Linked DNA regions of Drosophila melanogaster. The protein of the gene in region 2 interacts with the protein of the main gene of each other region in a pairwise test. Each region holds a gene or a part of one and is shown on either strand. Other genes may lie near its edges.

What was found.
Region 1: the proteins of nkd (region 2) and Gip interact in a two-hybrid assay, tested with the Drosophila melanogaster proteins (one large-scale study listed by BioGRID).
Region 3: the proteins of nkd (region 2) and ImpE1 interact in a two-hybrid assay, tested with the Drosophila melanogaster proteins (one large-scale study listed by BioGRID).
Region 4: the proteins of nkd (region 2) and CG14641 interact in a two-hybrid assay, tested with the Drosophila melanogaster proteins (one large-scale study listed by BioGRID).

The regions. Positions count from the first base shown.
Region 1 is NC_004354.4:10,326,982-10,334,292, reverse strand, and holds Gip (GIP-like), read left to right. Parts: upstream 1-4,420; 5' UTR 4,421-4,530; coding exon 4,531-5,325; 3' UTR 5,326-5,416; downstream 5,417-7,311. Other genes in the region: CG15306 (uncharacterized protein), read left to right, coding at 2,834-3,907; CG2909 (uncharacterized protein), read right to left, coding at 5,693-5,881, 6,221-7,227, 7,290-7,311. UniProt on the Drosophila melanogaster protein: Catalyzes the reversible isomerization between hydroxypyruvate and 2-hydroxy-3-oxopropanoate (also termed tartronate semialdehyde).
Region 2 is NT_037436.4:19,040,515-19,048,931, reverse strand, and holds the start of nkd (naked cuticle), read left to right. Parts: upstream 1-3,482; 5' UTR 3,483-4,564; coding exon 4,565-4,628; intron 4,629-8,417. UniProt on the Drosophila melanogaster protein: Cell autonomous antagonist of the canonical Wnt signaling pathway. May activate a second Wnt signaling pathway that controls planar cell polarity. Required for neuroblast specification.
Region 3 is NT_037436.4:8,368,867-8,377,680, forward strand, and holds the start of ImpE1 (Ecdysone-inducible gene E1), read left to right. Parts: upstream 1-3,538; 5' UTR 3,539-3,717; intron 3,718-5,878; exon of another isoform or gene 5,879-5,934; 5' UTR 5,935-6,109; coding exon 6,110-6,205; intron 6,206-8,814.
Region 4 is NT_033777.3:4,227,750-4,235,438, reverse strand, and holds CG14641 (uncharacterized protein), read left to right. Parts: upstream 1-3,096; 5' UTR 3,097-3,196; coding exon 3,197-4,453; 3' UTR 4,454-4,660; downstream 4,661-7,689. Other genes in the region: abs (abstrakt), read right to left, coding at 451-2,310; DhpD (dihydropterin deaminase), read left to right, coding at 6,296-6,394, 6,451-6,711, 6,805-6,959, 7,018-7,291, 7,347-7,689.

The DNA.
Region 1 (7,311 bases), on a different chromosome or scaffold from region 2:
ATATTCAAGTGAAAATTCAAATCGAAAGGATCTTTCTGCATATTCTACGTAGCCTTCCTTATATAAATGGCTCATCCAATGTTCTATTCATTCACAATTACTAGATTATCACACTTGCCCACTCTATGGGGTATTCCGTTAAGCACTTGTATATGTTAGCATACAAAGACCACAACTTTTTGAACAGTGTTCCTTTTGTGGGTGGAAAGCCACGGACGGCTGGAAAAACTATGGACGCGCGAAATGAAACGTGTGGGCATGGTAGGGATGGTATTGGATGGATGGATGGGTTTTCCGGCGACTCGGCTTGAGTTCCACTGAGGCTGGTGCGAGGATGTTGAAGGCGCGCGTCCTTCGGCTTATGTGCAGCGCACTTTGTCACTCTTATTTCTGTGTAAAGCTGCCAAAACAAGGATGCGGCACCACAAAAAAAAAAAAAAAAAACCCAAAACAGGACAGAAAAGAAAAAAAATTCGTACAGGATCGCGGTCGTTCGTTTCCGGAGTAAATGTAAAATTTAACTTCGAAGTAAACACTTTACGTTGTTTCGTCCTTTTTGGTAGCCGCTTGTCCTTTTTGTTTTTTTTTTTTTTTAGCCGCTCTATCCTGCCACTCGCGTCGGCAGTCCGCCTGCCTTTGTAACGCGCTCGGCGTTGGAATCGCGCTTTTATAGACCGCCGGCCAGCCGGAGATTTTCCCACAAATTTCCCATAATTTTCTCACGCTTTTCCGACAATTTCCCAAAAAAAGAGAAAATGGCCAACGGTAACGTTGGGCATTGCAATGAATTGACGAGAGGGCAAAGTTGCGGCGCCGCTCTCTTCGCTTTTGCCAGCTGGAAATTTCAAAAGGAATTTCGTTATTTATTGTGCAAGACGAAAGACAAACAAAAGTCAATGCTTTTGTTCAGGTCGCCGACAATACAGGCAGAGATTCTTTAATTAATTCGGATTGTCCGCTCACGAATTTCAAATGACTTTGACCCAATTTAATTTGTAATTTGTATGATATGTGCAAATACGAAATGAAAACGAAGAAATCAACAACAGGTTATTCAAAAAACTGCGAATAAGAAGTGCCCAAAGATATGCTGGGAATTTGTGAAGCATACTTTTGAACACCTCTTTAAATATGTATCTTATGTTTTTAACTAACATTTTATTGTTTGAACAACATAATCACTTAACTTACTAATTTATGCAACTTGGTGATTAAAATGCATAGCATACACTTGATTTATGGCATTTTTGTGAAACACATTTTCCTTTTTAATTGTTAGCATTCCATTAACTTAAGTCATCTATCTGCAAATGTGCCAGCCTTGTAGTGCTTGTAGTGCCAATTTCTATGCTGAATGCAATCAATTTTAAATATAAAGACCAAATGCAGAAACAACAGCATCTGGCTAATCAATGAGGTCACACAGGTTGCACATCGCACATCGCACATTGCACATTGCACATTGCACTTTCCACTCGTTGCGAAAATTTTACAAATTTAATTGCCTTTGTCGATGGAACGCAGCCGTATGGGAAATGCATTTGGGACGACGAGTGCCGCATTTCCGGGAACAAAAATAGAAATAGAAATAGAAATATAAATATAGATAGAGATAGAAACGAAAATGGGTTGTCAAGCTAAAACAATAGGATATTTGTGCAATTTATTTGCACTATTATTATTTCGCACAAAACAGTGCCACACGATGGCAGTGACATGTCTGTTTTGGATTGCATGTACATATGTATTGTATTGTATATATACTCCAAAAAGTCCAGTATTTAAATTGCCCACATGGGGTCATCCGAATCCGTTTGGTTAGACAAACCAATTCAATTTCCCTAATCCTTGTTCAGCTTTTTGGCAAATATGTACATATGTGCATATCGAATTGTTATTAGATTGCCAGTTAGTTTTGAATGTTAGTTTCTTTCTTAAATTGTAGCCAATAATAGCCAATAATTCGACGGGTTTACTACTAGTTTTAGTTAATATTCTTGATTTATTTTAATGTAGTTAATAAATGGTAAATGAACATAGAAAAACATAGAAGGCGCGTATAGAACGATGTTGAAGGACGTCGAAAGTACTGAAAGAACGTAGAAGAATGTAGAAATTATGTAGAGAAACGTAGAGCAACTTAAACGGATGTATAAAATGTGTAGGACTTTGGTGAATCTCAATGAATGTGAAATTTAGTCAAAGACCTAGACGCTTCACTTGAATATATATATAAATGCTAATTAGTATATAAATGTGTATATATAAATGTAACCATTTCGTAATATCTTGACCGTTTAGACGGAAGGACAAAAGGACAATACGACGGTTACGAACAAACATGGCTAGACAGTAAAATCTGATGGGCAGGCCATGAAAAAGTGCCGAAAAATTTTCAAATCATGTAGGCCATGAAATGAATTTTCATTTGTGTCATAACTTTAGACTGGACAAAACCTTAGTCCAATGTGAGCATTTGATATGTGAACATAACACACAAATAATATATACCCCGATTGTTAAACAATTTGTACATACAATTTCGTAAAAACAAAGCAACAGAACTACACATTTCCAATATACATTTTCAAAATATTTTGGTAAAACGAAAAGGTCAACTTTGTATTCACTTTGGCTTACGCGCGCTGCATGATATTTTACATTTTTCCAAAATTTTCCAAAAGCAACTTTCTTGCGAAAAAACTAATCGAACAAGGCAAACCATACGTGCTCCTGTACAACTTTCTTTGGGTAAGTGATTGTTGAATGACCAAGTAAGACATCGCTAATGTATTTTTAAGTAGCTTGTAGACACATAGAGAATTCGCTTGCGATGGCTACTTCGAGGGCCCACAATGTGACCGTCACGCATAATTCGTTGGTTCAGTGGTCCCGTGGCGATATTCTCGATTGGTTCAACGAGACGCTCCAATGCAACCTAATCAATATCGAACAGTTGTGCACCGGTGCAGCCTATTGTAATTTGATGCATATGCTTTATCCCAAACTGATCAATTTGAAGCGAGTTAAGTTTTTTTCGAATCAAGAATACGAGTACGTTAACAATTTCAAGGAACTTCAAAAAGCCTTCAATAAGGTAAATGTAAGCCTACCAGCTGAGGTCAATGATTTGATCAAGGGCCACAGGGTAGAAAATTTTAAATTTGCCGTGTGGTTCCGACACTTTTTCAATGTCAATCACACTAAGGATAAATGCGCTGGCTACGATGCACTGGTAGCTCGTGACCATCAGAACATCGGTATCGGATCCTCAAAATTGACAACCAAAGATCGTTTTCGCTTGGTGAAGGTGAAGACGACAGCTATACGAGGTAAAGTTGCGACTTGCCAGGCGACGATTAACAGTAGCCTTTGCACGGGCAAAGCTAACCAGGACGAGGATAGCCAGCACACGGATAAAAAGGACGAGGATAGCCGTGACCAGGGTAGCCAGTACGAGGATAGCCCCGGCATGGATAGCCAGTACAAGGATTGCCGTGACCAGGATAGCCAGTACGAGGATAGCCACGGCAAGGATAGCCAGTACAAGGATTGCCGTGACCAGGGTAGCCAGTACGAGGATAGCCACGGCATGGATAGCCAGTACGAGGATAGCCGTGACCAGGATAGCCAGTACGAGGATAGCCCCGGCATGGATAGCCAGTACAAGGATAGCCGTGACCAGGATAGCCAGTACGAGGATAGCCACGGCAAGGATAGCCAGTACAAGGATTGCCGTGACCAGGGTAGCCAGTACGAGGATAGCCACGGCATGGATAGCCAGTACAAGGATAGCCGTGACCAGGGTTGCCAGTACGAGGATAGCCACGGCAAGGATAGCGAAGACGAGGATAGCCAGTACGAGGATAGCCAGGACATTCACATGGTGCTCCAAAGAGACCACTGATATCGTGACGTCGTCGGTTTTTAATTCCTGGCCAAGCTCATTGTCAACTCAAAACTCTCAAAAGAACTAGTCAAAGCACACGGTAGCCTCGAAGGAGTAAGGATGTGAAGACGAAGGCTGCCTGCTTTTCAAAATTAACAGTTTTGAACTCTTTAAACCAAATTCACATTTTCTCCACTGCTTTTGTATTTCATGGTTTGGAAATTGAAAATTAAAATGTTGACCCAAAACATGCGTCTTATTTAATGGTTCCCTTAATGTCCGCTAGGTGGAGTCAATGCTTTTCACACAGGTTTTATATTAAATAATAATACTAAATAATAATAATAATATTAAAAATATTAACGCTACGAGTGTTAGAACTAGTATTTTATTTAACTAACGACGAACTAAATTAAATAATATACTAATTCTAAATAATGGTTCTGATGCCAGCTAAATAACTTAAAACCTACGTATGTATGTACATATATCACGCAAAGCTTTGGTCGGAAAAGCTCCTGCTCCATATGACATTGGCAGTATCAAAAGTCGGTAGATATAATATAAAAAACGGGTAATCGCATCGTTCCCCCCCAGTTGTTTGCCAAGCGTGAACGCAGGCGGAGATTAGTGAACGGAAGATGGCACTCAAGTTTGCAGCGAATCTGAACTTTTTGTTCACGGAAAGAGCGACGTCGATCGCGGAGCGAATTCGTCTGGCCCACCAGAACGGATTCCGTGCGGTAGAGATCCCCTATCCCGAAGGCGAGACGAGCGACGTGGTGTCCGCCGTAAAGGAGACGGGTGTGGTGGTCAGTCTGGTGAATCTGGCCTTCGACAAGAGCGACGATCAGCTGCGTTTCGGCTCCACCAGTGTGCCCGGCTCGGAAAAGCTGTTCCGTAGCCAATTGGATGCCACCATTGATTTCGCCCGACAGGTTAACTGTGGCAAGATTCATCTAACCGCTGGACTCTTCAAGGGCGGCCAGGAGAGTGACTACACGAAGACGTATACCGCCAATCTAAAGATCGCCGCCGATAGCCTTAGAGCCAGTAAAATGATCGGCGTGATAGAGCCAATTAACAAGTACGCCGTGCCTGGCTACTACATGAATTCATACTCCAAAGCCGCTGGAATTCTGGCCGATGTGGCTGCGGACAACATTCAATTGCTGGCCGATCTGTATCACCTGCAGCATTTGCACGGCAACGTTTCCAAGACGCTCGAGGAGTACAAGGCGCTGATTGGACACTTTCAGATCGCCCAGGTGCCGCATCGCCACGAGCCGGATGTTTCCGGTGAGCTGGACTACGGATTTGTGTTCAAGGCTCTCCAGGAATTCGGCTATGATGGATGGATCGGTTGCGAGTACAAGCCGAAGACGACCACTGTCGAGGGTTTGGGTTGGGTCTCCAAATTGGGCTACACGCTATAATTATCACATCACATATAGTTTGGCATAAGGAACTGCTCTGCATTTATACACATGTATTTACACTGCTTACAAACATAAAGATGGTTTAACCAAAATACTTAATTCTATTACATATTTCTCTCGTTTTCGAGGCATTTTCATGGCTTTTTAAAGCTTCAATTGGTTGGTTCAATTCAATCAATTGGTTGGTTTTGGTTTAAAATGGTCGTTTTATAAAATCGATTACAATATAAAATCCTTTTTTTTCCCTTTTTTTTTGGAATTGTCATGCGTCTGTCAAAAGGTCATGGAATTGACCTACAGCAAGTGTGGAATAAAACAGTAGCTACGATTAGATAAGATTAGATAACAGGCAGATTCACGTATCTCATAAGGCGTCACTCTCGCTCCGAATCACCCGCTTGGCATATTCGGCTATGTGGAGCACCCCGTGCTCCGGTGAGGCGATGTGCAGGTTGCCTCCATTGCAGAATTTCGTGTTTATGTACGGATTGTGCAGCTCGGCCACCAACGTGGAGCAGGCCGTCGAGGAGTCACCTGTGGACTGCAGCATTTTCTAAAACGAATGAAGTTTATAATATGTGAAATTAGAAAGAAGAAAATGTTAAGATCAAAGGAAGAACTACAACTACTTTAATGTCAAGTTACTTTCCATTGGTTTAATGATCACTAAATTGAATTATCTTTATAATTGCACTTAACACAATTATAAACACTTACTAAGCTGATAATGCATGCCCTCATTAAATTGATAATGTTCTTATTATTTAATATAAAGGGCATTAGTGGAAAACTAGAACACACAGTTGGCCAAACCACAGAATATAAATATATTGTTTCACCACTTAATATCAACATTTGTGGCTAGGAGGGCACTGTCAATCTATGTACTTACCATCCAGAATTCATTACCCGGCAGGGCGTTTCCATCCCAAGCGTAAGAGACTACCAGCAGCATTCCGGCGTGCTCAGGATCACTCAATTTTCGTGCTGGATTGCGCTTGGAAATGAGCACCCTGATGCCATCCTTTGGATGCCCGGGAATCTCTATCAGCGATCCGTTGCTTAGACCGCCGCAATGTGTGATCGAAAACCAGGAGAAGTGCACGAGGCCAACGTTATTGAGCCTGTTGCCCAGCGTGCGCATACGCTGCTCGAAGGTCTCCATGAAGATGCGCTCCTGCTGTTCTGCTGCCTTCCACACGCCCAAGCCGAAGCCCACCACATGGATGTACGCCAGCTTTTTCACGCGTTTTGCCCTTGCCTCTGCCTCCAGCAGCAGCATGTCGAAGCTGATGGCGTAACGCCGCTTCATCACCAGATTGTCGAACACGTCCATCTTGTTTTTCGATGGTCCGAAACGCTGATTGTCAATGACTGCCTGGCCGTGGATGAGATCCCGTGTGGCATAGAACTCGCGCCACAGTCGTCGATAGTCCTCATCACGCGTGGTAGCCGGCTCATCCAATGCCATTCCGTAGCCCCTTTCACGCGTATTCTGCTGACGTGCGATTACAATGTCCTGGAACTCCATTAGATTACGTCGCGACAGACGGGCTCCAATCATGCCCACAATAACCCCGTGACGTTCCAAAGTTTTCGTGTTCAGATCAACGTGACCGCAATTGGTTCGTTCGCCCTCATTGACAAACTCCGTGCGGGAGCTCACGGAAAGCAGAGCGGAGAGCTTGATATCGTCATAGCTGAGCACGTTGGCCAGCACCAGAGGCGCCTTCTCCTCCCGAGTACCCACGGCTTCGAAGCCACTGGCCCCGGACTCTCCGCTCACCAGCAGGTACTTGTCGTTCCGCGCAAAGAAGCTGGCGCAACGCTTTACCAGCAGACGTTGCACAAATCCGCATAGCGATAAATTCCGGTAGATGGGCTTTTCCACCGCGTTGCCTGTGGTGAAATGCGGCAAGTCGATCAGTTGAGAAGGCTATTTAGGCAAGAGAATTGCTTACCCCAACGACACTTGTGCTCCAA
Region 2 (8,417 bases):
ACATAGATACATCCATGCCGGGCCTAATCGTTTGATGGACAGCGATGGACGGCGGACTCTTGTAAATGTAAAATCGTAAAAATCCAGTTGAGGCAGGCGGGCAAAAAGCGCCTAAAAACACTCATAAAACGGCTGATTGAAATGGCTTCATTCCGTAGACAACAATTTGTTGTCTCATCGCTGTTGTTGTTGTTTTGATAGATTTTTAATGTTTTCGGCCTAATAAGCAACAATTGGTTGCACTACCCAGCCCCACCTCTTCCCCATCCCGGCCCCCATCCCAATCAATGCACAGTTACAATTTCCGCTTTGGGGCAGCAAACAAACTTTCCCCCAGCCCCAAACCAATATGCATCTTATATTTTTCATTGCGGGCCGCGTTTATCAAAATTAATTGGAAATTTTCGTCGTTTTTTAACGACTTCTGGGTAAAAAGTCATTTGAGCGCAGAGAGGTGGGGTGGGGACTTCAAAAGCAAAAGGCCTGTTGCACATGCTACCTACCAATGGGACTGAAGATCTCTCATTGGGGGCTCATTTGGTTCTCCGGACCTGCCAGTTTTATGGCCTATAACACAATATAATTTCCTGTCAGTCAGCCGACGAATGCCAAAAACTACAATTCATAATTGCTTTGGAAATATGTTTATAAACGCGGCCCACTCGTCGACCATCATTGGGGGACAACTTCATTTGAATTTTACGACAAGCGTACAAATACTATAAAATATAAATATTTATGGCCAGCACTTACAACAAAGTTAATTTATTGAATAGTTTCACAATGTACACGACCCCATGCATATGATATTTATTTCAATTTCATTCGTTTACGACTTCCAAAAAACTAAAAAAATAAATTTGGATTCTTTTCGTCGAGCCGATCGTGAAAATATATATTTTTTAATGAGATCCAGCGCAGCTTCGATTGTGACGCAAGTTGAAAAATATATCTGCTTATCTAATTTATGTGCTGCCCATTATTTACTGAAAATATTTGGAAAATTTAGAGCGTCTTGTTGTTGGCATGTGAAAAAAAAAATAATCATCAATTGCTGAAAACCATTCTTAGCAATGAGATATTTGCTTTGTTCCTAGAAGTTAAACAAAAGCAGTGGGGATAATTAATAGGTGCTTAAATTGTTAATCTTTAATGATTATTGGTTCGATTTATTTATTCGATTTATTTAAAAGATTGATCCTTTTCGCTTCGAAAATATTTAAATTACAATTGAATTAAATAAATATACTTCATCAAATTGCCCCATTAATGTGTGCCCTGGAACTGCATCATATTTTGCGGAAATACGTTCGAGACAAGGCAATTATGTTTATCTCCTGTAGCCAAAATGACCCCCGTAACCTAATCAACTCCCTAATGCAAACACACACGCCACATAGGACCCGATTAAACTCGCCTAACCCTTCAAAAACTCATCAGCATTGCCCATGTGTGTGAAGATAGGGATTTGCCTGTGGAAAGCGGGGGAAAACTGGGCAAAAAGGCGGGGGCACTGGGGAGTGACGCAGAGCGAATCGAATACTGCCTCCTTGTCAATTACAGCGACAGTTGCCATGGCCGTCACTCCGTCATCGTCATCGTCATCGTCATCGTAGGGACAAATGTCAGGGAACCCTTTATATGGTCGGTCGGGTGGGTCAGTCACATATGAACAGGAACCGCGCCCACCGGATTGCTGGGCCGCCAGACATGTTCCACTCGTTTTTGGGTAATTACATTTGCAGCCCGTCTGTCCTGTCCGCCGACTTTTGTCAAATACAAAGCGGCAAAATGTTGTGCGAAATTCGGCAGAACAAAGTGCTGGGGTTGGGGTTCGGATGCGAAACCGGAGTAAACATAAATCAATATCATCGGCTACAGGGCGGACAGATTCCCGACATCAATCAGGGGCCCGCATCCGAAATGTAGGGAGCGCAGGAGACGCGCGGCGCGTCTCCTCCTGAAATTAAGACGATGGATCAATGTATGACGAAGGCACCACAAAGGAGGGTCCGACAAAGAGAGAGACAAGACCCAGACCGAAACCATTCTGTTAGAAGGAGGTTCCCTCCGCCGCCTTTGCGGAGCCCCTTCTCGATCCCCTCACCCTCCGTTCGATCGCGTGTTCTTCTTCAATTACAGCGCCATTATACCGAAAGCCGAAAACGTTTTACGGTGCGAAAGCCTGCGGACCCCGAGGGCAAAGTTAACCCCTTGAGAGCGGTACATATTTAGAAGTTCTACATAAGAATATTGGTCCTCCTAAACGTTCAAATATAATTAGGAACATATAATGCCTAATGGAACATCAAGATATAAGGAGGTTTTGTTAGTTTAATCTCTTCTTGAAATTTCATAATATCTTATAATCGACTAGGTACACAGTTGATGTTTCAGTTACTAGCTCTCTAGAAATTTAACACGATATTAGTTATTACTATATTATTTAACGTATTTAAGTAAATGTGAAGTATGCAAAAATATTATATTTTACCTCCATAAATACACTAATATTTTTCAGGTTGCCACATTGGGCCTCAGTGGGTTAAAGGCAAGCCGATCACCGCGGGTTCCTTCCACTTGCTTTCGATCGCCGGAGAAAGAAAGAGCTTTGTGTTTCTTCATATTTTTTTTTTTGCCTCTGCGGCGTAATTCAGGATTCTCCTTGCTCTGTTATTATCGGCGGGTTTGAGCTTGGGTTTGGGGTTACTTTTTGGTTGGTGGTTGGTTGGTTGGTAATTGCCCTGATGTTCAAGCTCAGCAGGCGGCTTCTTCTGCGTGGCGAAAATTGGGGCAGGGGCAGCGGTTGAGATCAAATTTAAAAACAATCAAATTTTTTTCTGCTGCGGCTATGCATAGAGGCAAATTAAAACCGGGTATTATCCAAACACGTGTATAATCAAAAACCGATGGTGGAGGCAGTAACTACCAGTCAAAATTCAGCTTGAAAGGTGTAAGCCAAAAGAAAGCTCTAAATTTGAGGCGTGGCATTCGCTGCAATCAAATATGTTGCTCTAATAATTGCTTCTTTGTATGCAATATTTAAGAACGTTCTGTTATAAATGGAAAAATCACTGAAAATATATCACTCGAATTTTTAGTATAGTTTAGCTTAGTAGCTATTAAAAGGAAAATACTCCATAAATGTGAATGTATAAATTTGAAACAAAACATATGGTATTTGCAGTGGTTAAAAAAAAATGTAAATAAAAATAAATAAATTTTATTAATTTTTTACTGGTAAAATTTGAATCGTTTTTTAGAAGATAAAGAAGAAAGAAAAATATTTGTTTATATCATTTCATATATGTTGCTTGTCATGAACCAGAGTTCCATCATACCCTTTTCGAATAGAAAAAGAGATAACACGCCTTTACAAATTTCGAGTTCGAAATTGAGAGAACGTGTTCGAAAGAGAAAGAGCGGCGCTCGAAGATGAGTTTCGAACAACGGGCAATGTTTCGATTCTCGAACGACTCGCATTCAGATTGTTTTCGTCCGTTGATTCGAAAAGACGTGTGAACTGAGACTCGGAGATACAGCGGAAAGGATCTAGAAGATACGCGTAGTTTGGCCCACCAAAACAACTACTGACCGAACGGATTGTTGTGGCCCAGTGAAGTTATCGTTGAAATTGGAAATTGATCAAATGAATAAATGTATCCGCGAGATACGCCCAGTGAAGTTTTAATTTTCTAGCCGGAGAGAAAAATCAAGTGTGAAAAGCAAAAAGGAAAAACGAAAAACGAAAAACCGCCCCCACAACAATAACAAAAACAACCGGTACGCCACCCCCCGAAAAATTGACGTCGCCGTCGCCCTCGTCGCAATCGTTTGGAAATAAATCGTGTTTTTGCATTTGTTGTTTTTTGTTGTTTATACGCCAAGTTATTTACGTCGTCGCAAAGCAAAAAGAAAAAATTGAATAAATAACAACAAAACGGCTGGCGAAAAACAAATCGAGTCGGCGAAAATGTTTTACAATTAAAATTACGCGCGCAGCGGGCACAAAGGTACCAATATACACGAGTGCGAGCGCGAGTACGAGTATCTGCAAGATACACACACGTAGATCAAATAAAGCAGCGCAATATGCGCAAATTAAACTAAAATGCAGCACATCAGAGCTGTAAAAACTTTTACGACAGCGACTACGACTGGTAACTTGCCACCCGCACAGTCGAAAATAATACCAGATACAAATTAAGGTCGCCCAGCGGCAGCGCATAAACACGGTGGAACGGGAAGTGGCTGTGGAAGTGGAAGCGGAGGATTCTCTCGCCTCCTACCTGGAGTATATTAGTCTCAGTCCTTAGATCCTTACACAAAAGGATAGCCAGCCAGGGAGCGCAGAACGCACACACAAGGGCCGTAAAACATTTTGGGCTGCTGCTATACTGCAGGTCTCCTCCTCTCAGGACTCGTAAATTTCCAGCCCAACCACCACCACCGCCGCCCGAAAAACGGAAAATAGAAACACCGAAAAATCCAAGACACCGCCAAGTAACTGCATCCTCAACCCGCTTATATATAGAACTATATAGGTACATATATCCGGGCAGCGATGGCGGGTAACATTGTCAAATGGTGGAAGCATAAAATTCTCGGCGGCTACAAACAATTCTCAGGTAAGCGAAAGCCAAGCGTTCTCAACTTGTTTAGTGAATTTCCAGATAGTTGGCAGCAGATATGGAAAAGATGGATGTTAATGCTCTCGTGGGGAGAGACAGCTGGGCGATAGCATTCAGGGAAACAATTTGTTGGCCACAGTCAAGTAAATTAAATTGAAATATTGAGTGAGTCAGGGATTCGCAGGAAGATATCTTATAAATATGAAGAAAGTCGCTTAGGAATATATAATTATTGATTTATAATTGCATTTACTATTGAAATAATGATCCATTCCTATATCCACCTACCTGACACTAAAACCACTAACCCATGCAGAATGTTTTCCTTATTCATTTTTCCGTGGCCTCTTATCGAAGGCCATTCCCATTAACATACGACTATCTGGGCCGAAGATCTAAAATATTACCTTCTCCCAAACAATTGTTCACTCACCCGCACACAGATATGTATGTATTTGTGTGTATGTGTGTATTCGAATTCATTGAGTCAAGGGCTTCTCCCACATCCTTTTCCAATAATTACGGCGAACAACTAAAAGTTGAAAATAAAATGTAGGCAATCGCCCGGCTGCATTTTTATCTGGAAGATACACAGCCGTTCGTTCGCTTGTGGTCTTTGGAAATGGAAATGAAAATGGGTAGGAGAATGCCGGAGCAGCGACACACAAAAATAGAACGGAAAATCGGGCATGGTGCTGAAGAAGAAAAACACAACGGCAGGGCAGATCAAAAGGAAAGCGACCCATGGAAAATAAATAGAATTTTTTTTGGAAGCAGATCGAAGAGGCGAAGGGATCGGGATAGGGATAGGGATCGCGATCGCGATCAATAGAACGTTTCGCTTTGGCTCCTGCTGCTGCTTAGAGATCGGCTCCTTAGTCATGGGTAGCATATCATGGACGTAAATAAACAAGGTCCGTGTTTCCAAAGTGGGATCCGATCCGAATTGGAAATGGACGACCGAATCGGACGACCTTTCTGCCAAACGAGCAACGTTGATGTCCGAATCGCTGAAGTAACATCAATCAATCAATGTTCCCTGGGTTCCTTTTTTCTGTCCACAAATTCATTGGAAATATTCTGGGGCCCCCATCCACCTCTTTACTTTTCTGGAGTCTTTTTTTTCATTGGTTTGTTTTGTTTCGCTTTGAAGCCCCAGAGAGAGATTTCCTCCTCATCGGCATCGGCTGGCAATTGGTCTGCGCCAATTAAATGCCAGGCCAACACTTTGAACCCTTTGCAGGACGACAAGCCCCGTACACTAATTGCTGGCAGATGCAGGGGGAATTCAAAGGAAACCTCCAAAGGCACACCGAAGCATGCAACTTCAAAGAAAGCAGCCTCGAAAACACTACACAACAACAAACGGGAAGAGAGTCGTACAAAAAATGAAAATCAAGCGAATTGAAATGCCGACGCCGTTTAAAAACAACGTACGAACATTTCTTACCTGTTGCAGGTAAAACCGAAGGCAAGTCGATGCCGCGATGGAGGTGGAGTTGGCCCGTTGCTTATGGATGCACTGGGAAAAAATTCCATTGTTTTGTGACACTTTAATCCTAAGACATTACATTAATAATGGGCAAAATTATAAAAGAATAGTGAAATTTAGTAAAATATTATATTAACATAAATCCAAAATGTTAAAAGTGATTACGCAGATAGTAAAATATCACATGAATAATTAGATTTGCCACGATATATTTGTTGTTGAATGTTAAAATTATAAAAGGCCAAATAATTATTTCCTGTGTAGAAAGCAGCAGCTGCTGCGAGGCCAAGATACCGATGCCGACTCATACACAAAAACCTTTTAAAACCCTCACGTTGATAAAACAACAACAATAACATCGGACATCAGCGGCAGCAAGTCGTCGAGCCGCCGCCGCAAGCAAAAATAATAATAACTGAGCCACTCCATCCATCTGCAGCCCCAACTCCGACCAAAACTGAGAAACTCCCCAACTCCATCTCGAAGATACATCCACATCCACATCCACATCCAACCAGTTCCGCGGCCAGGCCAACTATGCCAAACATCTCAGCAGCGGCTACACAAAAGCGGTTTAGAGACCAACCGACGATCGACAGACGGACAGATGGACGGACCGACTTTCAGACAAACGGACGCACAGACGGACGGGCCGAGGAACGGCGATCCAGCGATCCAGCGAGCGTACTCTGCTTGTATCTTTGAGATACACACCGCGCCGATGCTGCGACTGCCAAGCTGCGCTTTGCGCTCTGTTCAAAAGATGCGCTTTTTGCTTTGAGGCGCGGCACCAGAGGCCGTCGTGCACAGTGGTTAAAAATCGTGTGTTTGAATGGGGATTATCGTGGGCACTGACGGGCGGGGATGATATGAAACCCAAACCTGAGAGGCTATTGATGTTCGAAAGATTTTAAGCAGATTAAATAGGATTTAATAGACACGTTGTATAGATGCATTTAAGCCATACTTACAGGTGGGATCCGCATATTTTGTAGATCATATGTGGCATCCTTAATTATTATACTTATTGTAACTAAAAAGGTTTTCATTTAAGTATACTTATATTTATGTCTTTTGATCATGCATATAACATTTATTTGTGCTTACCATACTTAATTGTATATTTGGTAATGCACTTGTGACCACTGTTTCTTCTGCGGGTTTTACAACGCTCGCCTTGGCTTTTCTTCGATACCGTGCTGTTGCTGTTATTATTATGGCTGTGGTTGTTGTGAATTACGGTAGAAGGCAACAGGCGAATCGCGTCGGCATTGCCTTCATGACAGGCTGAAAGCAACGTGGCTCGAACCGCACCGGGCTCAAATCGCAGCCCCGAGGTCCGGGAAGCGGGCACCAGCTCTAGCTGCCACTACCAACTTTGACTTGGCACTTTTTGGCTGATCCGCAGAACTCGAGAATCGGAGGGGAATGGAACTGGCTATGGCTATGGGTTGGGGCATGGTTATGGGTATGGGTATGGGTATGGGGATGGCCAGGGAGCAATAGCCTGGTATAAGCAATTTTCGTAATATTAGCCAGGAAGTTGCCGCTCTGCCTTTCGATATGCCAGCGACCCTATATGGCCGGTTCGGTTGCGTTTGGATCGGTCGGGTCGGATCGTCCAGATCCGATGGGTATTTCGCCTTGTTTTGGGTTTTGGTCCACCGCAATGGACTGGTTTTTCGAAGGTGGCTGCCAAGCCAAGTCAAACCCAACCGAACCGAACCGAACCGAACCGAACCAAAACAATGCTGTGCCGCCTTGTGCCAAAAGATAAAAAGCTGTTAGCTCGTAGCTTCTGCATTTCTGCAGGCCTCGGCTTCCCGGGGGTTGGGGCCACTCAAGATATATGTAATGACTTTTGAGGTTTTTGTTTTGGTCATCGGCTTTTGTTTGTGTTGATTTAGCAATTGGCTCTCGGGCCACTTCTTGGAATTATACCGCACTTAGGTCGCCCTTCGTCCACCAGGCCATAACTTTGGCCTAAAAAAACAGAGCTCAAGCTTTCATTAGGGGGTCATAACTTTAACAGAAACGTTACAACGAGATAAAGATACAAATTAGTGTAGAAAACGTAAAACCCATTAAAGTTGTAAATATGTTTCGATATATGAGTAACAAAATCAAAGAACAGTCCAAACTTTTATATTTATTAATACAAATTGCTTTGCAAACAAAAAACCAGCTAGCACTTTCAAAAGGCGTAAAGGAAAACACGTTCTAAGCAAATATTTACGGAAACTCTGAAACTCTCTGTTGACGGTTTGTTCCAATAACTCATAACTCTGATGGAA
Region 3 (8,814 bases), about 11 Mb from region 2:
CGTACAAATGGTCAACGCTTCATCACTGATTGGCGACTAGAAGGAGGAGGAGGCGGTTTTAGTTCCATTTTCTGTCAGTGTAGAGCCTATTCGGGGGCTGTCATGTGGCCAAGCCCAGTTCCTGGACCCATCGGCCAGGGAATGGGGCCAACCTAATGGGGGACGCTGTCCGGGCAGCTGCGTGCGATTCTGCGAAAGCCGAAAAATTATAATAACCAGTTTGGGCTGCTATTTCTTTATTTTTTACTTTGTGTGTGTGTTTTTTTTTTTTGGTTTGCCAAAACCTTCGTTCAATGACCCTGGGCAGGAATAGGGTCCCAAGATGGGCAGAGAACCATGCAAGGGCAATAACTCTCCGTTTTTTTATTTTTTTTTATTTCTTGCAAATTCTGCGGCGAAAGTTGATCGGGCGAAAAGAGATGGAGAGCGATTCCCGTGCCGAAATCCCGAAAAAAGGCAGAAAAGAAATGCACATTTAGATTATACGAGATATTGGCCAGAAGTGGGTACGAAAGGTATGCATACCTTTCCTTTGGCACATGGCCCCAAAACTGCAATAAACTAGTGGCCCAAAACGAACAAACAAACAGCAGCAGAATAATGCTTTATTCCCCCTCTCTTCAATTTTGTATTTAAAAAAAAAAAAACATTTTTTTTTTTTGGTTGTGTGTATGCCTTCTGTTGGACAAAAATTCCGAAAAGCAAATCCATTTTGTTCCGACTTTCATTTTGGAGCAGCGGCAAGCGCTGCACACAGTTTGAAGACAATTGTATAAATGAAAGTTTAAGATCTCCGGCGGCAACTGAACATTGCGGGCATTTTGGGCACCTGTGTGTGCATGTGTGTTTGTAGGGCAGTGTACATGCGATGGGCCGGGGGGGCGGTGGGCGTGGCGGCAGCGACAGGTACACCGGCACTCAAGATCGATAGCAGTCCAATAAAAAAAAAGGAGTATAAAAAAATAAAAATCCAAAAAGACCCGGCACGTGTTCCCCCAAGAGCAAAGCAAAAGCACTTTTCAATTGTTCACCACTTGTCGATGATCGTGGCGATGATAATGATGCCAACACCGATATTGCTGCTGCAGTTGCTGCTGCTGCTGCTGCTGCTGCGGCTGCTGTTGCTGCTGCTACTTCCACTGATGATGATGAACATTTCTCCAGTGCAGTGTCTTCAACTTTGCTACGATTTCGATTTACTTTTGCTTTTCATTGTTCCTAATGCGATGATGATGGCCACTGGCTGCCGGCTGTTTGTCGAGACATTAATAACAATTTCATGGTTTTCAACACAAAATGCACACCCATCGGAAACTTTTCCGATTTTCAATAGTTTCTATTGAATTTACACAACAATTTTGCAGTGTTTTTTGGGTTTGCTAAGAGGATTACCAAATGGTATCAGTTAAAAGCGTTACGGTTTCTTCTTGGAACCGATACTTTTAATTTGAATGGTTTTAAATAAAAGTTTGATATTTTTGAAATAAAAAATACATTTCTACTTAATGAATGCTAATAATAATGTATGGTTTTATATGATTTATATATATGTTATATTAACTAACCTATATAAATCTAATGAACTATTTATTTAAATTTCTCATCCCTACATCCAAGATATGCCGAAATCTTAAAAACTTTCTTTAGTGCAGCCCAATTTCTTTGTATAAGTTTTAAGAAGCAAATTTTAAGGGTTCAATCCTCTCGCATTTCCTCGATCTTGATCGATTGATTCCATTGACTTCGATTCCATTGCCCCCGGCCGAAAGTGAGAAATCAGAATTAAGCAAGTAACCGTGGACAATCAGCGTCAATTATGGCTATGTTCCTTAACTATATACATATATGTTCATATATGGCCATTATATGCGATTTCGATTCGGGACAATCAACTCTTTTTTCGCTGAGGAGGGTGCTCCGCTTCCGGTGCTTGAAATAAATCTTCAAATTAAGATGCTGTCTTCCAGAAAATGCTCGAAAATCGAAGCAACTTTTTGTAGTTTTCGCCGAGAATGAGCGAAACAAAGCGGGCAGATATAAAATTGAATGTGAAATCAAAAACGATCAAAAGCGCTTTGAAGTGACCACTTGGCACAATATGCGATGTCTACACCCGACTTGAGTTCAGTCGGTTCTTGGTGAATGCGTGGGTGGGTTAAAAAGTTCTATATTATCAGTATTTTATCAGTTTAAAATTGTCTTTTTATCATTAATTTTATTATTTATGCGACAGAACTAATTTTTGCAGCAAAACTTGAATTTAGTACGGGCAAATCGAACAAAAACTTCCAGTGCCACCCTCTTGATAATCTGAAAATCTGACAGCGAAAAACAGTTTGTTTAAAATGAACTCAAATGCGAAAATTACACCCCAAGCGACCAATTTAAAACCATTAAATTATAATTTTAAATTTTAAAGAGCTCGAACGACTTGAAGGGAGGGCAGCCGTGGCATTATTCAATTAGGGAAGACGCATTTGTATAGTTTTTGGACTCCCAGCCAAATGGAGTGCGTTGGATCCGACCACGATCATCCCCATCCCCATCCCCATTCTCCACCTCCACTTTTCACTCGGAAGATTATTCTTAACGTTTCGCAAGTCGATTTCAGTTGCTTCACTTGCCTCATTGCGATTGCAACACGGGTTCAACTTCAAGTGACGGAAGTGGGAAAACGAAAATCAACTACAGTTGAGCCTCTCTACCGTGTACTTTCCTCAAACGTAATATTCAATCATATCGAACATTTTAAAACTGGTGCCTTACTAAGATTGAACAGGAAATCTTATAGAATCTTAAAGATTTATTGTACTAATTTTTTTGATAAAAGCTTTTAAGATTCTTCAATTTAAACATAAATATAATAAGCATTTTTCAGTAGTATGCTGCAACATGTTTATATAATGTTAATTTTTTATTAGCCCTCAAAATTGGCTATTTAAATGTATATGTATATATAGGCCTATTAGGCCCATTCGATCTATAGATGTGGCACTGTAAGATAAAGCGGTTAATTTCGAAATGAATGCAGTTGCCGGGCAGCAAAAAGTGGCGATTTCGGCGTGTAGGTGTACAAACGCTTCGCCGTTTATCTCTATTAATCTGTGCGTTCGCACTCGCTCGCACCTGACACTCATAATTAAAGAAACAAATAAAGCAGCGCACTGGCTGCTGTTGCGCCTGCGCAGCGGTCACATTTGCATAGCAGCAGCAGCAACATCACTCGCAACAGCGGCAACACAGCAGCAGCAGCAACACAGCAGCAGCAGCAGCAGCAGCACAACAGCAGCAACAGCAACCATGTGAATCCAAGAGTTCGGCACTTGTCGTGTCTTCAAAAGCTTTGCTGCCTTGACTTTGACTTTGGCCAAAAGCTCGCTTTTCAGCCAAGAGTTCGCCGCGTGTTGCTGTTGTTGCTGCTGTTGTTGCTGCTGCTGTTGCTGTTGCTGGTGCTGCTGCTGCGGATGTTGCTGCCGCTGCGCGACTGCGAGCGCGCGGCTGCTTGTCTTGGTTCTTTAAGTCCGTGGCTGGCTGGCTCCTCTTCAGTTCGTTGCTGACCATCGTTACGTGCGGACGTGCCCAGCTCAGCTCATCTTCGTGTGATGTGGCTGCACTTTGCACACTAAACTTAAGATCTGAGCCCAAAACGTTTTCCAAGCTGCAAAAATATAACAAAAGTGCCGCGACGCGTGTGACAAACGAAAATCGAGTAAAACGGTAGCTAAAACAATGATTCTATGAATATGAAATAAGAGAGCGCACAAAAATATGGAAGGAAATAATAATACTGATAATAATAATAATAATGATCGAGGGATATTTTTTGGAATTGGACTAAGGCGCGGCCATCGGGCCAACTGAGTGTAATTTCAGTCAGTTTCTTGCGCACAGACACACTCGCCAGGAAAACAAACAAACAAACCAACTAAGCAACCAACCAACCAACCAACCGACCAACCAACAAACAAACAAACAGCGAGCGTCCAGATAGACAAACATACATGGGAAGGCAGTCAAGTGAAGACAGTGCAGAGTTCTCCTGTCCAGTTTGCTGCAGATGCGGTTGGAGATGCAGTGGCAGTGGCATCAGCAACAGCACCAGCACCAGAACACACAGCGCACAGAACCCAGCCGAACCAAAACCAAACCGAACCGAACAGATGCAGATGCACCCAAAGCCAGTCCAGCATCAGCTCGGATCTGGCTTTAACTTTGGCTTGGGCTCCAACTTCAGCTCCAGCTCCATCTCCAGCTCCACTGGCACATGTGCTGGCGGTGGAGTCGCCATATTGGGTGCATAACGGTGCTAGAATCGCGCTGCTTTTTGCTTTTGCTGCCTTGTGTCTGAGTGTCTGAGTGTCTCTCGGCCAGCTTCTTAGCCAGGCTGTTGCATTTGGCTCTCGGTGCACCGCATCCCAACCCATCTTATGCCATCGCATCGCATCGCATCGCATTGATGACGACCCAGCGACCGATAGACCAAGCGCAAAAACCGCAAACTAAAAATGCTGATCCCCTTTGCCAGCGACCCGCTCTTTTGCGGTCGCCAGCCCAACACTTTGCACATGCTGATCGATTGCGGAAGATCTCCGCCATCTCCAGTTCCATTTGCATCGTCCATCTGCATCTCTGTATATGTATCAGCTACTCCAAGGCTGACTGGGTCACCAAATTGAGTCGGCCAGTTGTCCAGACACTCCCACCAACTGGCCCCTTTGACCAAATGCCAAATATTAGTAATAATATTCTCGTCAGGTTTTTGCTTGGTTAACCAATTATTCTTTATTCTGAAGTAGAAAAGTATATGGTCATAACTATTGGTTAAATATGTCGAACTTCCCTTTTTTCTTCCAAAAAAGTTTCAAAAGACTTAACGTAGCCTAATGCCTCATTTTATCCTTATCTGTGCATTTAAAATTAAATCAAGGGACACCCATTTTCTTTCTTCTAAATTCTATACAAATTTCAATTAAATATTCAGCTTCCAAAGATAGCACATACGTTTTTCTCTGTGCAGCGACTAGTTCTCAGGCCATCTCACCTTAGACCAATTTAAATCGAACTCTTAGGCCCTGCCTCATTGTCAGCTCCGTTTTCCCTTCCTTTTTTCCCATTTTTTTTATTAAGTTATAAAACTGCTGGAGTTAGTAGATGTTTTATATCGGCACAGAGCTCAGTTTTTTTTTTTTTTTGTGATGTTCTTCTCAGCCGCCTAACGGTAATGCCCTAGAGCGCCACATTCTCAGACCCAGTCTTCCAGTCTCGAACTCTTCGGCCCAGACTCATGCATTGCAATAAAATGAAATTTTATAACAGCGTCAGCGGCAGCAGCACCGAACAGATACAACGACGGCAACAAAAACGTTACCCAAATTCCAAAAAAAAATATATAAAAAACCTGAACGAGAGAGAGGGAGACAGGCAAAGGTCGTCACAGCAAGTGAAAATAGCAAAGCCAAGAAACAAAACCAAAAAACAAAAAAAAAAACTAAAGACGGCGGTCGAGATAAATAAACGAAATAAGTTTTAGGGCCTAGTGGCCCAAACAAGAGCTAGGTGGTTCAGGTGTTAATTTCCCATTTTCGGGTTTTCTTCGGCTGCCGCGCAAGTTCGCTGCCTAAGTCTTTCGTTTTAAAGTGGAGCGACACCGCGCGCACCGCTCGAATGCCCATTGAATGCGAATGAGGGGCGTGTGAGCCGCAAGCCGGCCGGTTCAACTGCAAAATAATAAAACAGAAATTATTATTATTATTATTTCCCTCATTTTTGTGTGTTGCTTGTTAGTGGGGCGCATTTCCTTTACCCGAAAAGAAAAAAAAAATGAAAGAAATGAAATAAAGGAGAAGAAACCTTTTCGTTCCGTTTTTGACCCTCAAAGTTCAGAGTTTAAGTCAAGCCTCCCCTCACCACCACCACACTGACTCCTTTCCACAGCGAAAAACATATATTTACGACTGCAACGAGAGGAATACCAGCTACAGGAAAATAACCCAAGAAAAGCGGCTGAAAAATCGAAAAAACCAAAAGAAAACACACAAAAGGAGGGAAAAGCGAGAAAAGCCTTCCCAGGGAGATCCAAAGCAGCTTCTTTGGAGATTCAGAAGCGGCAATGACGGCGACTGCGAGGCAGTCGGCAACATCGAGAAAGCAACCTGCGATCGCAATGCTCAATGGAAACGCTTTTACGGTTAAGCGGCTCTTAGCGGTAAGTCAACTCATCTAAGGCCAAAAAAGGCAAAAACAAAAAAAAAAAAAAAAAGAACTAACGACAAAAAATCAAACTGCACTCCCCCACATAAAAATCATCATTTGGGGCGTTGCCAATTCAAATTGCTCCACAAAAAGCAGCCAAAGCAAATGTTTGTCACCTGGTCAGTTCCGAGCACCATTGTTAAGCACTTTTTCGCTTTCTTAAACAAAAGATTCATTTTTTTGGCACAATTTTCGACTCTTTCATCGCGTGGGCTCACTTCAATCGTGGGCCGCTGCTCTGCAAGATAGTTTTTCTCCTTCTCGTGTGTAAAGAGCTGTGAAGTCGGCCATTGGGTCAAATTGTTGCTGATAGATGGCTAGGCAGGCGTCGAAGATCATGATGATGTCGGTTGTGTTCGGTTGGGGGTCGCCACTTCACCGACTGAGTAATGTGGGCAAATTAATCTAATAAAAGGTGGGAGTCTTCGTTGCCTCTGCTCCACTGGACCGAACTTCATTCCAAGAGAAAACAAAAAAAAAAAAAACTCAAAGCTCGAGAGTGGGCATTAAGTTTAGTGAATTATTTGCTTCATAAAATTTCATTGCCCGGCACTTAATCATTATTACTGCGGGAAGAGTCATTATGGGTGTACTATGGGAACTAGTTTGTCTATTAATAAACGATTCTATTGAATTTGCTGGCTATTTTGGGATTCCAAGAAAAGTGCAGACTTAATGCAAAGTTAGTTAACTTCAAGTAAGTTATTGTTAATGATTTTCGCGGTTAACAATCTCATCAATTTAAATGTTCTTCTAAATATCGTACGTTTCTTTGTGCCAATTTATTTATCAGGACTGGCATTTGCATATAAAAAATGTGAAATTCAATTTGCAATCAATTTTTTTTTTTGTAATTGAATAAGAGTTTCCCATGCGATGCACAATCTATTCATGGTGCTAAATCAATGGAATCTGTTTGTTAGAAAGCAATCGGCCAAGGGCTTCTCAACTCCAGTACTTGAGAGAAAATTTCCTTCCAGCAGTTATTTTTTTTTTTTTTTCACTCCAGCCAAGACTAACAAACAATTTATCCGTTTCGATGTTGTTTGTTATTATGGTCCGCTGCTGCCCTCGGCCGGCCCATTCAACCCATTTCGAGCCAAGTGCATTAAGTCTTGGCCAGAAGAGCCAGTGAAGCCAGTAGATGGCCAGAAGGCCCAGTAGTTGGCCAGCAAGGCAGCAAGAGCCGCTGCATCTGGGCGCTCCACCTGCATTCGGACCGGCCAAAGGTCACCAGACGGTCTGGCGCCCGACGATCATTAAAAGAGTACGAAAGTAATTTGTAAAACACGAAAACTTATCTACTTCTTTTTTTTTTCGCTGCTGCTGAGCCGAGCTTTTCTTGCTGTTCTTTTACGATTCTAAATTACAATGACTGCAGAAACCGAAAAAAAAAATATGCCACTGCAACGGGTCTTCATTAGCACAGACTGGTCGTAAACCCAAAATAAAAAAAAAACATTTTCACAAAAAAATAGGCAGCAAAATAAATAAGCCAAGTCAGTTCGCCGCAGGTGATAAATGGGGTTTTGGCAGCTTGGGTCTTAAAGACCGGACCTTTTGGCCAGGAAGACGAATGGCCTGGCGAAGGATTACAAATGGTGAGGTGGACATGGGTTGACGGTTATTAGCAATCCGCCTGCAGATCTTTGTTTACGCGCTTTTCATTTTGGCAAGATGACAATGCTGTGGCCAATAACGAAAGTAACCCCCGAGTTATTGGGTCAAAACGAAACAACAAACTCGGACACAATGGTCAACACATTCTCTTTATTCTATTTAGTGCCAGTGCCAGTGCCTCGTGCTCGAAAGCCTCTCGAAAGCGTAATTAAACAATTTCTTCTCTGTTTATTGACATTTTATTGATGCCGCCGAGCTTGAGCGGTTTCATTTCTGGTTGTTCTGCGGTTGTTTGCGATACCAATTCCAATTCCAATTCCTATTCGGATACAGATACTTTTCCCCCATTCGGTGTCTTGTTTGTATTGTTGCTCCCATTGAGCGATACTCCTCGGATTTTCAATGGATCTTGTGGAGTGCCTGCGAGTGTTGTTTTGAATAGAGGAGCACCGAATGAGTGGCGAAATGATCTCGAGACTCGAGGAAAACACCTCTCAATGGGGATTATGTGGTGTAGTTTATTTATTTATTGTTATTGAAAGAAACCAAGGAGTAGTGCTAATGGTTTAGTATTCAATAAACCCAATTTGATGATCATAACAGTGAAATAAATGTTTTTGGCGAAAGCTATTGAAAGGAGTGATCGAATCAATCTTGTAGAAAATAAAAAAATACTTTGAGATCTAAAAAACATTTGATATAGAAACGAAAGGATTTTAACAATTTACTAATATCAGTACTATAAAATCAACATATCCATTTGTGCATACAACTTGTAGTAATTTCACAGTTTTCTTAGCAACAATTTCGCATAACCATTTATCACAATTAGGAATAGCTAACAAAGTTGCATTTCGCCAAACGATCCTAACTGTGATTTTAATGTCTCAACTTGTACGAAATGCCAAGGAGTTGCGTGTCTGTGGCATTGGAATCCAAAAC
Region 4 (7,689 bases), on a different chromosome or scaffold from region 2:
TGAAATCATTTAGGCTAGTCTGAATTTTACTTTATACTAGAGTAACCTACTATTCTGGGCGATGTTATTACATATTGCTGATAAAACATCATTTAATTTTTGGGGCACACTTACTTGTAAGTCAATACGATCTGCGCAATTTCTCACGATCCCAGTGCGATGATTGAATAAAAGCGCTTCGAACGACAAGCATGCAGAGCTCTGCCTCAGACACTAAACGAAAGCCAAAGCTCGTCTTCGCTTTTATAATATTTTTCTTAAGCCCGAAACGCGCGCGCGTCCGGCCGAGATCGCTCTCTGGGGTTGCTGGGACGATTGATAAGCAAAGCTTCGTGCGATAAGCAGCAAACTGAACTTAAAACAGAGTGAAAATAAATTTAAAAGTTCCCAGAAAAGTATGTATGTATACTAATCTATTTATTACTATTTTAATTTGGTGGTGGTAGTGGTTTAGTAATCCGCAGCGGTGTTAGATAGGTAGTCGCGACGTCCTATGTTTGAAGCTTGCTTGTTCTGAACAGCCTCAAGTTTTGGGCACTCCGTGATGCGATGGCCCAGACCACCACAGTAGGTGCAGCCATGCGAGTCACCCAGGTCCAGGTGCTGGTGTTCGGTCTCAGGTGCCAGTTCGTCCAAGAAGTCCGGGACCTCTTGCTTGCCCTCGATTAGCAGGTGCTTCAGGTCGAGCAGAACCGACTGCTCGGTAGTCTTGTTTATCAGCGTCGTAGCCAATCCCTTAGTGTTGGAACGACCTGTGCGGCCAATACGATGCACATAGTTTTCAATATCGTCCGGCATGTCGTAGTTAATAACGTGTTGCACGTTAGGGAAGTCCAGGCCCTTCGATGCCACGTCGGTGGCCACCAGCACATCTTTTTTGCCCACGCGGTAAGCATCGACTGCCCGCGATCGTTCTTCCTGATCCTTTCCGCCGTGAATAGCCACCGCCTCCACGCCTTTCAACAGCAGATACTCATGTATGCAGTCTACATCCTGCTTCTTCTCAGCAAAAATGAGCACGGGCGGCGCGGTCTTCTGTAGGCAGTCCAGCAAATATACCACCTTTGCCTCTTGCTTAACGTACTCAACCTGTTGGGTGACGTTCATTGACGCAGCACCTGCGCGACCCACATTTATTGTGACAGGCTTCACGAGAGCTGATCGAGCAAAGTTCTGGATCTTTTTTGGCATGGTGGCAGAGAATAAAAGTGTCTGTCGCTGGCCTTTGAAGAAAGAGAATATCGTACGAACGTCCTCTTCAAATCCCATGTCAATCATGCGGTCAGCCTCGTCCATGCACAAGTACCGGCACATGTCCAGCGTAAGGATCTTCTTGTCCAGCATATCCATTAGACGACCAGGGGTCGCCACCACAATATGTACGCCGCGTGAGATGACGTCAAGGGCCTCGCTGACCGGCAAACCACCCATGGCCAGGCAGGAACGAATCTCAGGCATTCCGCATGCCTGGAGGTGCTTGCTGTAGTGTTGAATTATCTCGTGTGTTTGCTTGGCCAGTTCGCGGGACGGGCAAATGATCAGGCCGTAGGGGCCCTCGTTACGCTCAAAAGGCAGACTATACTCCTGTTCCAGGGCAAACATGATGACTGGCAGCACGAAGACAAGCGTTTTTCCAGACCCAGTGAAGGCTATTCCAATTAGGTCGCGGCCGGCTAGTACAGTGGGCAGGCCTTGCACTTGGATTGGGGTCGGGTTCTTAATGCCTTTGGCCGCTAAGCCGTTAAGTATACCTTTAGGGAACTTCATTTCCCGGAAGCTGCGAATTGGCGGGCTGGGGGTTTCTCCCTCCACTAGGATCCTCAACTCGTGGCGAACGGCCTCGCGCTCTTCCTCCGACATTTCCCGAATGTAACGCGGCGGTTTCCAAGCTGTTTTAATAGGCTGCTCGTACTGAATCCCCTTCGCCAACTCTGCCACACCCATAAGGGCCTTCTGCTGAGCAATGCTCTCCATAATCTTTTCCTCCTCTCGCAGCTGCTTTTCGACGGCACTCAACTTTTTGGCCTCGGCAATTTTCTTCAGTTCTGTGTGCTGGTCCAGCAGACTAATGTTGTACTTGCGTCCCCAGGTCTCGACATCGTGCGCACCCTGCGAGTCGTCTTCATTCTCATTCTCGCTTGACGACTTGGGCTGGGCCGTTTCCGAAACCAGTTGCACGATCCTGCCCAGCTTTATCATGTGCTGCTTCTTCCGCTCCTTCACCGGTACGTATGGCACGTAGTCCTCGTTGTCCAGGTCGCCTTCCTCCGAGGACTTAGACGACCTCCGATACCGCTTTACGTGCGCCATAGCATTCGATCTATATTTCTGATTTTTGTTTGTTTCGTTTTCGCCTAATTTGACTACAACAAAGGCCACCGTACGACGTTTTAAATTAGGCGAGCCCGAAAAATACTATATTCTAATGGGTATCGATTACAGTTATTAAACAGTGATTCCACTGACAGCTTCTTGCTTATGATATATTCATGGCATGCAGACCGGATAATAGTTTTTTTTTCAATTTGGGCAAAATCTTTCGATTTCGTTTTTAGGTGCTCTGGTTTTCTGAGTTTGAGATTGAGTCTTTCTTTTTTTGTGAAAACCAAGCAACGTGAAAAATGCAACTTTTAGCGCGAAGGTTGCCATACTGTTGGTGAAATATAACAGGCAGGTAAAAATACTTAGTAAATATATTTAAAGCAGGGCCAAAAGTGCTGTTCGTAAATAATGATAATTAATTGAATAACATAAGTGGTCAGAGCGCAGTGAATACGTAACTGCGAACATCGGAATTAAAAGTGCCAAAAACTCTGTGTAAATCGCCCAGAAACATTTTATATGAACTTATGCGTGCTATCAAAAGTGTTTCAGGAACATTTCTGTTAAACGGTTAGCGAACATGAATAGTACAGAATAGTAGAATATCGTATTGATCGGTTTCGGATCAGTCGAATGCAATATATTTTTGTGTGCATTTGGGTATAGATATATATTCTAAGCAGTGTGAATATGCTATTAAATTCAATAAATTATATCGATTGCTGACTTTGAACTAACTGTCTGCTTCTGGCTCAACTTATCGATATTGGTATATCACTCGCGACACACCACCATTTTCGACAAGTAGAAAGCGAATGAGCATTGTCTAAATTTAGCTCGGATTTTAAGTGCAAGGTACATAAGTGCCGCTGCTATGTCTATGTCAAAAACGACTAACACCTATAACCGGCAGAACTGGGAAGATGCTGAATTCCCAATTCTGTGCCAAACTTGCCTTGGCGACAATCCGTACGTGCGGATGATTAAAGAGCGGTTCGGCAAGGAATGCAAGATATGCACGCGTCCATTCACAATATTTCGATGGTGTCCTGGTGCTCGTATGCGCTTCAAAAAGACGGAGATATGTCAAACGTGTGCGCGCCTGAAGAACGTGTGTCAGACCTGCCTCTTGGACCTGGAGTACGGACTGCCGATTCAAGTACGAGATGCGGCGCTCAAAGTGGCTGACAATATGCCACAAAGCGACGTTAACAAGGAATACTACATCCAAAACATAGACGCCCAGCTGCAGGACGGAGATGGCACGGAGGCGGCAGGAGCTGTCGGTCGATCCCTCGCCGCCAACGAGATGTTGTCCAAGCTTGCGCGCACAGCACCCTATTACAAAAGAAATCGGCCGCACATCTGCTCCTTTTGGGTTAAGGGCGAGTGCAAGCGTGGAGAGGAGTGCCCATACCGCCACGACAAGCCCAACGAGCCGGACGATCCGCTATGTGAGCAAAACATCAAGGACAGGTACTACGGACGCAACGATCCTGTGGCCGAGAAGATCATGAAGCGTGCAGCCTCGCTTCCCACACTCGAGCCGCCGGAGGACCGCAACATCACAACTCTCTATGTGGGGAACCTTCCTGAAGAAATCACGGAACCCGAGCTGCGAGATCAGTTCTACCAGTTCGGCGAAATTCGATCAATTGCGCTGGTGCCACGCCAGCAGTGCGCTTTTGTGCAATACACCAAAAGAAACGCTGCCGAGCTGGCTGCTGAGCGGACCTTTAATAAACTGGTGATCCAGGGCCGGAAGGTGAGCATTAAGTGGGCTCACTCTCAGGCAAAGCAGGGCACCGCTGCAAAGACAGACAGACGCTTCGACTTGGCCGGCATTCCACCGCCTAGCGCGAAGCCCAACGACTACTTCAATCTTCGCCAAGAGCAAATCAATGTCATGCCCGCCGGCATGAAGCTGCATCAGTTGCCATCAAATCTAGTTCCGGCGTCGGCTTACCAAATGTATGGTCAGCCTACTTATGCAGCTCCCTACGGAAACGCCACTTCCACAGCCCTTTCTTCCTCGGGTGTCAATTTGGATTCCATATCGATTCCTCCGCCACCGGGTCAAGTACCGTATCCAAGTCAGGACGCCAGTCGGATGGGAGCTGTTAAAAAGTAGGAAAACCCTGTGGTCTACAATGGTTCCAATTCAATAAATCATTTTTATAAAATTAAATACAAACTTTTTAAAGTGGTCAGTTCCATAAAAATGACTTAATATTAATAGAATTTATCCGTATGGACGAAATTGTTTTCGATTCGAATTGTTAAGAAAAAACACCAAACAATTAGAGAGGAGAAGATAATAATAAATGATTTAAACTCTAAAAAAAAAAAGAAAAAAAGAACAAATTTTCGTCACAAAAGCTTATATCAAAACTTTTGTACATATGTATGTTGATGTGCGTTCGTCACTCGTTTTTACCTTTAATAAATGCTTTTCTTTGATTTGGACGATATTTGGGATTAAAAAAAGTACACCAATGCACATGTACATATGTAAGTTCATTCTTCAGTATTTATAGGGGAACTTAACATTGGGATTATGACTACCTCCCTGCATTCCATTCATTCAGATTTCATCAGCTCATTACTGATCATTAAAAATCTCGATCAAATTAATCACAGGTTAATTTGTATTAAAAAAAAAAACCATGACCTGAACCTATGTTCTAGGAAATCATCGCATAGCGCAAAATCAAAATCACGCATAAGCGCTATAAATGATAGCTCAATTCATCTCTCTACACCTCTTTTTATTCACTTAATCCTCTATCAATTTTAATGAAAAAGTGAAATTTCAGTCATTTATTAATAAAAATGTATTTTCTTAATTAGACTTATTTAAATTATGCATAGGATTTAAATTTAAGAATACAAATACATATATATGTATGTGAAATTCCAGAGTCTTTGGCGTCCTGTCCTACGGAGTTAGGACCAGCTTCTTTTCAGTTCACATGTCCGATTTACCTTAAGGTAAAATAATGTATAATTATGTATACAAAAACGAGTTAAACCAATTTACCTTAAATTATCGTTTCTGTGAGTAGTGTTTGTTGCTTATTGTAAAATAAATCCATTACCTGTAATTATTATTGAATTAAATTCCAAAATATTTACAATTTTTTTTTAAAACAAGCACTCAAAATCGCGTCTACTTCTCACAAAAGTCTATAGGCAAGTGATCTGCAAACATGTTCTATGTACATTACAAATTTAAAATTTAAATTTAAATTTGCAATTAAATAAAAAATCGCATACTGAGACCTTCGGTTAGAAATTAAAAAGCGATGAATTTGTTTTCAAAATCATCGCTTATTCCTCGTTATGATTAAGAACATTAGCATCGCTTTAAAATTTTAAGAGAGAGATGATGTAATATTTTTTAATAGCGATGAATTGTGGGACTACAGGGTAGGTAAAGGTTACATATGTACAGGTGCGAGCAGTGCAAATATGTTTATTCTAATGAAATCTTAGACTAACTGTAAATTATATAATGGCTATATTTCTTTTACCCGTCACTCTTACTCTTCTTTACTTCCAGAAAGGGGGTTTTGTCTTAGCTAAACATATGATTAATGTATTCTATGTTTTTTCAATATTCATTCCAATATACAATTTTACAATTAATGGTTTTGCAACAGCTATTTTGAAGTTAATTATTGCTTGTTTTGTAGTTTTTACCGATAAATCACACGTGTGCAAGCGATCGCTTATTAAAACAGTAATAAGTAATAATATTTAAAGTAACGACCAAACGATTGGGAATAATCTTTCCAGCGATTTAAACCTTGAAATAAAAAGTAAGTGTCATCCCCGTATGATTATGCGCACATTCGCAGGGCGACGCGTGCACCTAGGCGAGAGTTTTAAAACTTGTTCAGCGGATCTTGATCATTACATTCTCAAGTCTGTCGTACAGCACGTTTAAGCCCGCTGATAGTAAATCAGAGCAATGGCAACCGTGTTTCTTGGAACTGTCGTGCACACCAAGTCGTTCAGCGAGTTTGAGTCCTTTGAAGGAGGATTCCTGGCAGTGGACGACGCTGGCAAGGTAGGCAATTTAATGCCCAGAACAAAACAATGAGCAATGAACAATTTCGCTCACAGATAATAGGAGTGGGACAAGACTACCATGCGTGGGCAAGCAGCAATCCGGCCCACGCCAAGGGTCTGACCGAGGTTCACCTGTCGGACTACCAGTTCCTCATGCCGGGCTTCGTCGACTGCCACATACACGCCCCGCAGTTTGCGCAACTGGGACTGGGACTAGACATGCCTCTTCTGGACTGGTTGAACACATACACTTTCCCGCTGGAGGCGAAGTTTTCCAACCACCAATACGCCCAGCAGGTCTACCAGGGTGTGGTCGTAAGTAGTACTTGGGAGCACACAAACGTCTTATCGATGGGTCGCACCGGCCGTCTATTTTTATTAGCTGATAATGATAATATTACACCCCAGGAAGCAACACTGCGGTGCGGAACCACTCTGGCGTCCTATTTCGCCACCAACCATCTGGAGTCAACGCTGACCTTGGCGCGGGAGGCGGTGCGTCAAGGCCAGCGGGCACTGATAGGCAAGGTCTGCTCCAACTGCAACAGCCCCGAGTTTTACGTGTAAGTACAGAGCGTGACGGATTTGGTCTGGTCAACTCAATGTTGTTGCTCTGCACAGGGAGACTGCGGAAGAGTCGGTCAGTGCAACCCTGGCTTTCGTGGAGGGCGTGCGGAAGCTCGGCAGCCCGATGGTGATGCCAACGATTACGCCCCGCTTTGCCCTTAGCTGCAGCAAGGAGCTGCTAAAGAGTCTGGGCGATATAGCAAAGCGATTTGACCTGCATATCCAGAGTCACATCAGCGAAAACCTGGAAGAGATCGAGATGGTAAAGGGGATATTTAAGACCAGCTATGCCGGAGCATACGACGAGGCTGGACTGCTAACGAATAAGGTTAACTCTTTTAGGTTCCAGTATGTGTCCTTTCTTAACCTTTACTACCTTACAGACTGTACTGGCTCACGGCGTGCATCTGGAGGACGACGAGGTGGCACTTCTTAAAGTCCGGGGGTGCTCGGTAGCCCACTGTCCCACTTCGAACACAATGCTAAGCTCCGGTCTGTGCGATGTCCAACGGCTGGTGAGCGGCGGCGTGAGCGTAGGTCTCGGCACAGACGTTTCGGGGGGAAACTCCGTCTCGATTCAGGACGTTCTGCTCCGCGCATTGGACGTGTCAAAACACTTAGACTTTTTTAAGAAGCAGAACATCCGCGGGACGGGTGTGTCCAAAACACAAGATTTCAATTACCATCAGTTGAAGTACAAGCAGGCGCTCTACTTGGCCACTTTGG